2 linked regions of the Schizosaccharomyces pombe genome follow. The protein of the gene in region 1 binds, or shares a complex with, the protein of each later gene. Each region holds a gene or a part of one and is shown on either strand. Other genes may lie near its edges.

Evidence for each region.
Region 2: shd1 (region 1) and end3 share a complex: the UniProt entries of both Schizosaccharomyces pombe proteins name them as parts of the PAN1 actin cytoskeleton-regulatory complex.

What each region holds. Positions count from the first base shown.
Region 1 is NC_003424.3:3,497,001-3,504,658, reverse strand, and holds shd1 (Sla1 family protein Shd1), read right to left. Parts: upstream 5,637-7,658; 5' UTR 5,611-5,636; coding exon 5,377-5,610; exon of another isoform or gene 5,231-5,376; coding exon 1,202-5,230; 3' UTR 744-1,201; downstream 1-743. Other genes in the region: fatty acid alpha-oxygenase Mpo1, read right to left, coding at 1-237, 282-348, 390-398; rps502 (40S ribosomal protein uS7), read left to right, coding at 7,273-7,382. UniProt on the Schizosaccharomyces pombe protein: Component of the PAN1 actin cytoskeleton-regulatory complex required for the internalization of endosomes during actin-coupled endocytosis. The complex links the site of endocytosis to the cell membrane-associated actin cytoskeleton.
Region 2 is NC_003423.3:1,757,325-1,762,229, forward strand, and holds end3 (actin cortical patch component End3), read right to left. Parts: upstream 3,056-4,905; coding exon 2,908-3,055; intron 2,838-2,907; coding exon 2,761-2,837; intron 2,537-2,760; coding exon 1,634-2,536; 3' UTR 1,079-1,633; coding exon of another isoform or gene 978-1,078; 3' UTR 865-977; downstream 1-864. Other genes in the region: protein Fis1, read left to right, coding at 483-864, 978-1,078; mRNA turnover and ribosome assembly protein Mrt4, read left to right, coding at 3,408-3,524, 3,860-4,468. UniProt on the Schizosaccharomyces pombe protein: Component of the PAN1 actin cytoskeleton-regulatory complex required for the internalization of endosomes during actin-coupled endocytosis. The complex links the site of endocytosis to the cell membrane-associated actin cytoskeleton.

The sequences.
Region 1 (7,658 bases):
TTCGATTGACTAGGCTTCTGGAGAAGATTGTAAATAGCTTGGATGGCAAGATATAGGAAAACAAGTAAAGTACCGGAGAATAAAGGAGACCATCTAATGGATCTAAAGTTACATAAAAAATCTGATAAGCTAGCCCAACTAGATGAGCAACATTTATTTGAAGCTTCGAGTTTATCAATGTTATTACAAAATTATGTAACAAAACTAAGGCAGTCAACAATAATAATGGAATGCAAACTTCTAAGTTAGTTTAACCAGTTTATCTGAAAAATCTATCTCACCTTGATGGATTTTTATATTGACGGGATTGGAATGGTAAGCGGCGTAAAATGAATAGCTTCTGCTAAGCTAATTACTATTAGAATGGATTTTTCTTCATAGATTCTTACATAAGTCATTTCTTTGTTTTAATTTAAAACACTGGTTAACATGAAATACTTGAAATTTCACGAATTTTCCTGTTTTCCAAGTGTATGTCGAAAAGGCGATTGTGATGTAACAGCTAGTACAGGACGGCAAATTAAATAGACAATTCGATTCAATATGCTGTAACGATGATGGATTAAATATAAAATTCCTTTGTCTAGCATACTACCAATTTCTTTGTAAAAACGTTTAATGTTAAGTCTCCTTTATTTTACATACACTACACTACTACTACACAGCGTTATCCTCGACGGGCCTGATGTCTATCTTACATGTAGGAGCTACATAGTGGAAAATTTAAGGTAAACAACACTAAATCGACAGAACAAGATTAATATCTATTTAGAATGCATATAAAATCAAAGTGAGACGTTGAAACAATTTCCGAGGTACGTCTAAAAACCTCCAAAGGTCTCAAACAAAATCAAACTCTATCAATCATGACCGGTCGTAAACGCTCACGAACACTGAAATGCTATAGGAACGAAAGAGGGATCTAATTATGTTTAGAGATGCGCTAAGATCAATAGTCATCGTCGCATTTGCCCGTTAACAAATATTATTACGATTTAAATGAAAAGCAGCTTTATTAAAGAGCCTAAGGGAAGAATCAATGCTCCGAAAAAAAAAGACAAAGTAAAAGAGGGCGTAAACTGTAACCTAACGCAGATGTTATACCTCAATAATTATACCATTTTACACGAGCAAAATGAAAAGACAGAAAGGAATATTCGGGAAAGCAAAACTATTAAGTTCATCAAAAAATATTTGTTCGTTAAAAACCAAAAGGATTGTCTGGAGTAGCTTGATATATACTGGCTTTCTTACCAGCTTCATTCGCACCTTGCGCTCCACCAAATGATGAATCATAATAATTAGCAGGCTGCGTTTGTTGATTATAATCGGAGGGCATGTATAAAGAAGCATTCGATACAGGATCATAACTCATAGGGTTAGCCATATTCCCAGCAGGTTGAGCATAGCCATATTCAGAATATCCCTCCATTCCGGTTTGATTGTATCCATAGGGTGTCTGTTGTTGCATTTGCATGGGATCGTAATAGTTCGACATCATCGGTTGTTGATAACCCATATCAGGCTGCATTTCTGTACCATAGTATTGTTGCTGTTGCTGTTGCATAGGTGAGTACATTTGTTGTTGCTCGTAACCGAAAGATGTATCTTGACCTCCAGCAAATCCATAGTTCACCGGTGTCTGTGCATTCATGTTATAATATGCCTGTGTATCGTTCATGGATGGTTGCATGCCATAACCATCAGCAGCAGGCATGGCTGTAGGAGTATAGTTTTGCTGGTAGCCAGTGTATTGAGACAGCATTGGTTGTGCGACCATACCAGTTTTTTGAACTTGCACACCAGTCATCTGAGGCTGCATGGGCATTGATTGAGGCATGATACCAGTTACTTGAGGTTGCATACCAGTAGGCTGCATCATGCCAGTAGCTTGGGGCATGATACCAGTAGCTTGAGGTTGCATACCAGTAGGCTGCATCATGCCAGTAGCTTGAGTATGCAGGCCAGTAGGTTGTGTCATTATACCAGTAGCTTGAGCACGGATGCCCGTGGGCTGCGAAATTATACCAGTGGCTTGTGGTTGCATACCAGCAACTTGATAACCATAGTTTACGGGCTGCTGTGGCATAGCCCCAGTCTTCTGAACTTGTACACCAGTCATTTGTGGCATAACTCCAGTCATTTGTGGCACAACTCCAGTCATCTGTGGCATAACTCCAGTCACCTGAGGCATAACTCCAGTCATGTGGGGTTGTAAGCCAGTGGGCTGTACCATTAAAGGTTGATAACCAGTGGCCTGAACAGGAATTGGTTGCATATATCCTGTAGGTTGGATAGGAAGTGCGCTAGGAGGAGGTTGAAATCCAGTTGGCTGTACATACAAAGGAGATTGAAATGGATCGGCAGCCATGGGTTGAGGAGCAGTGAAATATGCATTTTGAATAGTAATATTGCCAGTTGGTTGAGCTGGAATAGGTGCTTGGACCGACTTCTCCGCATCCTTTTTCTCAACAGGTGCTTTCTTTTGTTCCTCAGGTTCAGGGATGGGTGCAGTTCTGGGTCTTGAAGGCGCCTCAGGTTTCTTGGCTTCCTCAGAAATGTTCATTTTGTTCATGGATTCCGTCACACGTGCAGGCTCAACAGTGACAGAAGAAGCACGAACAGGGGGTTCCGTAACAGGTTTGTTAGCCCAAGCATCATCATCGAATTTCTGGGGTGTGGTTGACTTCGGACGAGTCGCTGGTGGACTAGGTGCTTTTTCAACGACCTCCTTGGCAGGTGCTGCTGGAGGAGCAGGTTCGGCAACCGGCGCTGGGATGGGGGCAGGTACTGCGACTGGGGCAGCAAGTGCCTCCCCGCCGGACATAATTTGGTTGACTGTGGACTTGGTTTCTGGAGTAATGGCAGATGCAGGTTTTGTTGAGACACCATTGAGTTCATTAACATGATTCATAACACGAATGATATCACCTTCCTTTAATCCCAATGTTCTAAGTGTATCAGGATTTAGAGAAGGTATGCATGCTTCATCCAAATGCTCATTGTTAAAGTTATGGGTGTAGCGGTTACAAACGGTAAAATCTACGCCGCAGCGAAGGAAAAAGTCAAACCAGTCATAAGAGATCTTGGGCCTTTCCTGAATCACATCATATTTGTCATTGCTATGAGAGGAAGAGGGTGGAGCAAGAGCAGGTCTAGTACTTTCAGGACGGGCTGGTTGGGGAGGTGGACCTTCATCCTCCTCTTCAGTCTCTCTGTGCTTCCTATGTTCCCTATCCTTCTTCTTCTCTTTCTCCTTCTCACGATCATGCGACTTGCTATGACTATGGCCATGATCATGGCTTTGCTTCTGTGTATCCTTTTTCCTTTCTGTACGAGAATAAACTTTCTTGCCAGTCATTAATTCAACGTAATCCAGGTCCTTGTACGACATCTTCGCACTGGGAACAGATATTTTCACACCATTAGTTTTGTGTAGATGAATTTTGTCGTCGCTATAGCCCAAAAATTCGGCTTCAACTTTAAAGGCGCCTGTTCGATCAGTCCACGTACGCAGTTTACTGCTGTCAGGTTTACTAACCGAATGGCTCCTTGAACGCTTGCTATCCTCCTTCTTGTCCTTCTTGTCCTTCTTGTCCTTCTCAGCGGACTTGCTCTCACGGTGAGACTCATGTTTGCTTTCTGGTCTTGCTTCATGTTTACTGTCGCGTTTGTGTTTAGATTCGTGCTTGGAAGCCCTTCTAGAAAGCGAGGATCCCTGACCAGATTTCGAAGATGAAGGGGGTGACTTTGCGTCGCCTTCTGTATCGGGCTTAATAAAGTTGCTGGGTACAACACCTTCTTTACCATCAACACTGCATTTCCACCAGTCGCTACTTGCTGTGTCATTGACAATGACCACTCGCATATTCGCTTTCACAGTCAACTCATCAGCAGCCTCCGCGATAAAGTCGTAAAGCACAGTACCCATTTTTTGACCAGCTGAGGAATCCTTTGGCTTATGGTCCTCAGCACGCGCACTTCTGTCGCCGTAAACAGTAGACATTTCATAATCGCCGGTACGGCCTCCGTTTACACCAGCTGCATCGCTAGCAGCATTTAATCGGTGTAAAGCAGAATCTGAAGGTAGTTTAGGCATAGGGCTTCCACTTGCGGCAGCGATTTCTCGAAGACCAGCGGCTCTGGCGGAACCGGCTACGTCACCTAGCGCACGGATAATATTGTCGGCATTAGTGTTAGAGCTCGCATGAAGGTGCAAAGATGTGATACCGGAATCACTATTAAACTCGATAAAAACATGTTTTCGTTCAGAAGAATAATTTACAAGATCGGTAACGGGCCAAACTTGGGCAGCGTCCATGGTCTTAGTAAAAGTAAGAACAATTGACTTATTGTTGATTGCTAAAATACCAGTGCGTTTCTTTTTCTTGCCAACGACTTCACGGACCTCCCATTTTTCGTAGGCAGGATTACCCATGGAGGAAGAGGAATCGTAGGCTCGAGAATCGTCGTGGGAATCGGTGCGCAATTTGAGATGCTGATTAGGATCTCCATATGCATCTGAAGGCGACGAAGGAGAAGGAGGGGAGTCGTAGGAATGAGCCATAGAAGAGGAAGTGCCAGTAGATCTAGTAGACGCATTAGTTGGGGGTCTTGGCGGCTGACTAGGGGTGGCCGGTGGAGGAGGAATATTAACTTGGGAGCCAAGATTATTCACATTACGGGAAGGCATAGGTAGCTGAGAAGTATTAGTAGATTGGGGTGGAAGTGTTGGAGGTGGTGGTGGGGGAGGAGCCGGAAGAGGATCTGCTTGTTTCGGCGTGTACGTGGGAGGAATCTCAGGAGACACGGCTCTGCCAGAGGAGTAGTAGTCATCTGGCTCGTTGGCGTCTGCCGCCTGATCCTCCACTGCCGGAGGAGGTGGTGGTGGTGGTGGGGGGTTGTAGTCAGAGGGCAAGGAAGTAGCTGGAGCAGCAGCACTCGGCGGTTGAAACGAAGGTGGAGGAGAGACCATGGAGTTGGGAGCGCTCACTGTTGGAGCGTTGACACCAGAAGCAGAGGGTTCCTGAGATGCCGGGGCGCTGGACGCATCCATCCCCTCAACGTAGTTTCTCGGAGCAAGTCCGAAATTATTATTAAAACCAACCAAAATCCAATCTGAATCAGTGTCGCCATAACAGTCTAAAGTTTGGTCCGCTTGAAAGGAGATTTCATCAACGGATTGTTGAGTATAATCATACAAAGCTTTCATTTTTGTTGAGGGTTCAGCCTATACACAAAATGGTTAGCAAGCGGCTTTACAATAACATTATTACTAAATGAGCAAAGACAAGACTCGATCTATTTCTCCTTCACGTATCCTATCGCATCAAACATGTAGAAGACCGTGGTCTCTGTCATTTATTCTACACATACCTCAGTAATATAATTTGAAGGAACGATTCCAATTTCTTCATCGTCATCATTACTGTTTACATTCCGTTTGACGAGATACCAATCGTCTTCACCTTTCTCAAGAAGACAAACAATTTCATCCTCAACGATCGAGATTTCTCGTTCGTTTTCTGGAATCTCTTCACCCGGATTGATTTCTTGCGGTTCATAACTGTACAGCACCTTATAGATGCCTATTATAGGTAAATTTGCCATGGCGACAAATGTAGGTTGTACAGTCTGAGTTGATAAACGATGTAGCCAAGGTGGCTTTACCAGATTGTGTAAATGGTAGTGATGAGCAGTGCAACAAGTTAAAGATCTATAACGATGTAGTCAATAATTTGTTAAATAATCATAACAGTAATATTACCCTATTATTTCATTATGGGTTGTTTTACATGATGCAGCGATTCTCGTTATATCCAAGAAATTTAAAAGGTATACGATTTGAAGAAGAAAGGTTTGTTGCTTTTTAACAAATAAAATAATGCTTAAAGGTATGCAAGTTATTTTCTATGGCCTTCCTACCGCCAACTGGTGTTAGCAACTTGGAACCGAATAGTGAGCTGGCAATTGAAAACTACGAAAAGTAAATGACTCGAAGAACCAAGTGTACAAATTGCTGAGTACAAGACCATGCTTTCCAGATCTATATTCTGATGTACTGTACAAAATCCTCGTACATTGTCATCGAATAAAAGTTGCAAACTGTGAATTCAATAAAAATGAAGAAATAAATTACCTACCTTTTTGCTAGTTTAAATTGTTTGCGAGATTGACAAAAAGTCGAATGTTTTTCGTATCCAATGTGAGCTAAGATTTGTCGCAATGTGAATTGAAATATTAATCACATTATTTGTAAGTAAGCAAAGTAAAGGACCGTTTCAAACTTTTCTTAATTTCTTTAATTTGGCTGCTAATATTGACTACAATAAACTATACTTGGTAGCATTATGTTGTATTACTATCGTCAGTGTGGAGTTTTAGTACCAAAAGGCAACAAAAAAATAATTTTCTAGTATAACAACTGCGATTATGGTGAATTCTTTTTTTTTTCTTTTTAATTAGAAAAAAAAAATTAAAAGATTTCGGTGGTTTAATAGTTCACACTCAATTGGGTGTTTCTAATTGTGCGCTGTCAAATTACATGAAAATATGCTAGTATAATAGGGAAAAAATGGATAACAAGAACCCCAAATTAATTAGGCCGTAATTCAATTTTTTATATCATTTATTCGTTATTAAATTGGAGTTTTTTTTGGGTAACAATAGGTACATCTATACTTACAATTAAAAAAAATAAATAAATAAATAAATGAATTATGCTTAAATTCCAAGAAATTCCATAAACTCTATAGTTATCCTATTCAATGGATATAATATTTTTATTTATTAGTTCAATTTAAATTCAATAAATTGTCTGCTGAAATTTAGACGCATGTTGCTATTGCTTATTCTTTAAGCAAGCAATTATTGCATCAGGAATATAATTAACACTCAGTATTACAAACTAGTATATGAAGTATTACTTATATGCTACAAGTATTCAAATAGTTAATAAAAACAAAACAATATTATGTTAACCTCGATTTGCATGCTTCAGCGATCGACCAAAAATACCAGCATATAGAGTAGAAATGTGAAGATAATATAACATAGAGCGCCTTCTATATAAAACTAAAAATCCTAAATGGTAAAAAATTATACAATTTATTACAATTGAGTTAAATCAACAGTTACTACTTTATTCAACATAACAAACATTATTAAGTATCGACAGATAAACCCTACCCTAATTCATTATTGAACGGTCACAAATGTTCGTGTGGGTTTAGTAGGTACATTGCACAAGCTACCGTCTGAACCACCACAGAAATGGCAGCCTCTATCATCCCTAAAGAAGTTTCCTTGGATGAAACTGGACATATCAAATTGTTCAACAAATTTCCTTTTGAAGGTGTTGAAGTGAAGGATATCTCTTTGGTGTATGTATAAGGTGGGATTGTGTTTTCTAGCTGCTAGTAAACTTTCCAGATTTTGTGCTTGGAATTGTCTGAAATATACAAATTCAATTGTAGTTACTTGGTTTCATGAAAGGGAACTGCTGACAATACGTTACTTGGATATGCTGTTGTAATTTTTTTTTTCAGTCAATTCACTAGTTTTACTTGACCTAAACCTTGGAGCAAATGTGGAAAAAGCAGCTGGAAATTACAAAAGTTTTCATTTACACCAACTTTTCATGTTATTTCAGAATTTCT
Region 2 (4,905 bases), on another chromosome or scaffold:
TGCTTTTATTATCGGTACGTTTCGCAAATGTGAATTACATAATACGCCACAATTTGTAATAAATATTTTGTGAAATGTTTTGCCATATCCTTAAGTTCTTCCTTACATAAATTGTTGGCGATGGCGTTCACAAACGAATCTTCATTTCATTCCTTCTCTGTTTCAAATTTTTGTGGAAAAAGCATATCCATATTCTTACTAAATCGGATTTCTGGACTTTTCTATTGCTTTGGAAATCCATTATCCTTGTAGTTCACTCATTTGCGCCTCAAATCCTTTATAATTGGAATTGGCTGTTTACATTGATAATTTAGCATTTTTGCATCATACTCAACCCTTTTTTTCTTCTTTTATATTTGAGTTGTTGAATTTTTTTTCAAGTGACTGTAGTTTTTTCAACATTTTCCGTTTATTTATATTAATCCGCCTTTAAAATAATTAAGGCACATTCAAAGACCAATATAGGAAGCAATAACGACATCATGACTGAAAAACACACCCTTCGCCTCGCTGATCCTTCTGCTATTGATTCAATTATTTCTGTTGATGAGTTTCTACAAATCAAGGAACAATACGATGCAGAACAACCTCTGATTACTTTACAAACCAAATTTAACCTTGCTTGGGCATTGGTACGCTCAGATTCTACACAGCATGTACAACAGGGATTATCTTTGTTCTGCAGCATTTACAAAGATTCACCGGAAAGGCGTTTGGAATGCCTCTACTACATTGCTTTGTCCCATTACAAATTGAAGCAGTATGAAGAATCCCGTCGTTATCTCAATATGTTGTTATCCAAAGATCCAAATAGCCCAGAGGCTTTAAAGCTAAAAAACCGTCTTTACGATGCTGTTACAAAAGGTATGTTTATTTTAATAAAACTTAATGAGGTATCACATATGCATGAATGTTGTGTTTATGTTAGAAAGATGCGTTATAAATAATGAAAAGAATCATTACTAACCCGTTTTTAGAAGGATACATTGGAATGGTTGTGGTAGCTGGTGCAGTGGTGTCAGTTGCAGCTCTTGTAGGTTGGGCATCAAAACGGTTGTTTTCAAAGCGTCGTCCTTAAACCGTAAACGATATTAATCACAAGGGAGCTTTCTTTTGCATAAATTCTTCAATTTTTTCTCCTTACGAACAATAGGATTGTGGATGTATCCTTTTCATGAAACGCGTATGAGTTACGAAGGCTTTGGGAGACATTATAGTGTGCACTTTTTTTAGAAAAAGAAGATTATAAATCGAAGCTTGTTGTTTTTATTATATTATCTTTTCTTCTTACCCAGTTGATAGTTCTGAATTCGCTTGTGTTTCTTCTTAACAGCAGGGTAATAAATTTACCTCAAGGAGGTTTTAGATTGTTATAAAAAGAGAGTGAGTATTTATTATAAAAGCTGAATAAGTTCCTCCTTTTATACTAATTCAAAAGTTTTGTATCGATTAAACCAAAAAATATAATGATGGACATTAATGAATGATTTTACAATCCAATTCCCTCTTCCTGTTTGAACAGTTTATTAAGCCCAATAAAGAAAGAAAGAAAGAGTGTACCTTCGTCGATTTTCCAAGAAAACATCCAAAGACTCAAGTATTTGAGATGATGAGCTTTATAAACGAGATTTTGTTAAGACAGACTACGAAGCCTTTCCTCTAGCTTAGCCACTTGAGACTTCCGACCTTCCAAGTGACGTCCCAAAACATTAAGTTGTTGTTCCAGCATTTTTAAGTCATTATCAATGGCGGAAGCGCTGGGGCCATTTGGTCCATCATTTTTTAGAGATTGAAGGATACCCAACTTATAGTCAAGTACTTTCTGTAAATCACGTTGAATAAGCTTTGACTTATTTTGTGCAATGTTAACATCGTCAGTTTCACGTTGAAGGGAAAGAATCTTTTCGTCCAATTTGGACAGCTCATTTCTTAATGAAATCAGCTCCCAGTCAGAGTCTCTCACATCCCTCGGGGCATCAAGATCACTCTTCGGCTTCGCACCACCCGTAGATGGAGCCATTGTAGGTGAAGAGTAATAGTTATTAGTAGAGTTGTAGGAATCTAAATTATAATCGATATTTCCTCTCTTAAAACTAGCCTTTAAACTGTACGGGACATCATTAGGAATACGGAATCCGTTGGATCTCTGAGTAAGGATGTGCAAAAATACTAAACACTGATCTTTCTGTATGGTTTCAGTACCCTGAGGATTGACAAGTTTCCAAGCCTTCTGAATTTGAGAGTTGGGAACCCCAAAAGGAGTAAATACAGGTGCCAGGCCATTAAAAGATACTTCTCCGTGTTTATTGCAATGTAGGGAGTAAATATCGGAATATCGAATTTTATCGGATGGAGAAATGTACCAATCAAATCCATCTTTTAAAACGGCATCTTCCGGGTCGGTATCAAGCGAAGGTACTTTGTGTAAGAGAGCAATATCATCATTTCCACGAAGAGCATCTCGAGCTGCTACTAAATGCTTTTTGGAAGTAGACACCAACGCCTCGGGTACTCTATCTGGAACGGTTTTGTAAACCTAATGGTTAGAAATGATGAAAATAGACAAAAAAAGAAACCCTAAAAACCAAAGGTAGCCTTTCACAATAAAAACAATCAAACAAGTGGAAGGGATAAAAGAAAAAATGAAGGCTTTACGCAAGCGCCGTCTTCTTAAATCATTCATATCTTATTCCATCTTTTTACATTTATTTAATCCATGCTTCACAGGTTCATTCATGAGTAAAGTAAGTGGTTTCATACCCCATTAATCAAATCAAAGGTGATTTTCATAGCAATTGCAAATTCATCAAAATCAAACATTCCATCATCATCAATATCTATCCATATTCGTAACATTAGCACACGTTCGATTAAACGACTCAGACCGCAAACTCATGTTTTCCGTACCTGCTAAATCCCAAATTTTTTCCAATTTATCGCTTGAAAGCTTACTACTACGGAGGACTCCAGCAGCTTTGGATCCTGATAAATAGCCATTTTCTGGATTCAAGCCGCGAAAAATTTCCCAATACTTATTTTTCTCTTGGGGATCCATTATGTCGAGTTCTAGTAAATTTTAATACCCTAAAATATCTAATTCTCCTGAATCGTGTACGGCCAGTGGAAAAGTAAAAGAACTCAGTATATTGACCTTTCTTTTACCTTTTTCCAATGTTTGCTCATACTACGTGTCTTGTTTACGGTAAGCTCACAGACTACCGGATGTGATTCGGAAGTTGCGCGGCATTTCCCCGTTAAAATTACGAAACGCAATTAAGCACAACAATAATACTCTATCCTTAAATATCAAAGCCTAGCGCGCTGCATTTTTCAATGAATACCTGTAAAGAGTATGGTAAAATCGTTACCTCTGCCAACAACAATTTTTGCAGAGAAAAGAGGAAGAAATGCCAAAATCAAGGAGGTCGAAAGTTTTGACTCTCGCTCAAACTGAGAAAAAGGGTCATGAAGGAAAGGCTGCTCTTTTCTCTGGAGTACAGCAATCGCTGGATTCGTTTGACTATGTAAGTGAAAATGGGCTCGGTTGAGGAGTTGTAACAGAAATATCGTGCTGAAGGATTACAAAATGAGAAAAACGAGCATCATGGATTTAGATGCTTATTTTTAGTGATTGAATTGTCTATTTTTGTACGAAGGTGTTTCCAAATGCTTTGAAGTTGAAATTCAACAGTACAGCTTTTTAGATTATGAGTTCTCGTTGAGGTTTTAAAGTTATACTTTTTTTTCCAATTATCTACTTATTTATTAGCACTGCTAACAAATACCCATCTGTTTACACCTTCTACTCGATCGTATAAAATTTTAAATGGCTGTTTTACTAACTGTTTATTTTCAATAGATGTGGATTTTTGATGTCACTAATATGAGAAACACATATTTAAAACGTATCCGTGATGATTGGAAGGGTAGTCGTATTTTTATGGGAAAAACTAAGGTCATGGCAAAGGCGTTAGGACACACGCCTGAGGAAGAACATGCCGAGAACGTTAGCAAGCTTACAAAATTGCTTCATGGTGCCGTCGGCTTATTATTCACAAACTCTAAGCCCGATGAAGTTATTGGATACTTTGAATCCTTCGTCCAAAACGACTTTGCTCGCGCTGGCGCTGTTGCTCCTTTTACTCATGTTATTCCTGCTGGTCCTGTTTATTCTCGTGCTGGTCAAATTCCCGTCGAAGATGATATTTTGTTGACCCATACATTAGAGCCACAAGTTCGTCAACTTGGTATGCCTACTGTTTTGAAGAATGGTGTTGTGACGTTGTTAGCTGATTTCCCTCTTTGTACTGAAGGTCAACAACTGGACAGTCGTCAAACACGTTTGCTGAAGTTATTTGGAATCACGGCTGCTGAGTTTAAGGTTGGGCTTTTGGGCTATTATTCAAAGAAAGGTGCTTCTGTTGAGTTTCTTCAATCCGCACCTGGTGCAGACGAAGCCATGGAGTAAAATGTATATTACAGTTAAATGGACACATCGCGTGCACTATTGCATTATCAAAGTTTTTTGCTTTTTATTTTCGGATAAAATAAAATGAAAAGAAGGGTTACTAGATTAGTGAAAGCCCTGTGTTACCGTGCTTGCATAGTTGACGGACTTTGGATTTAAAACAATGGTTTTTTGTTCATGCTCTGATAAATTTACATAGAGATATGTACTCTTTCTTTTCTTTTACTTACTTTTGGGGGATTATTGGTTATTTCTTTTCCATAGCGGATGAAAATATATGAATAATATTTTTATACACTTTAAAATGAGTCATGTAGCACGTTGACATGGTAAAGTTAGTTTGCTAGTTTCACTTTCGCTGTGAAGGCCCTAAAAGTTGATTTCCAAACTCCAATTGTTGCTTTCGTAACGTACGAAAGAATGGAAACAACGAAACT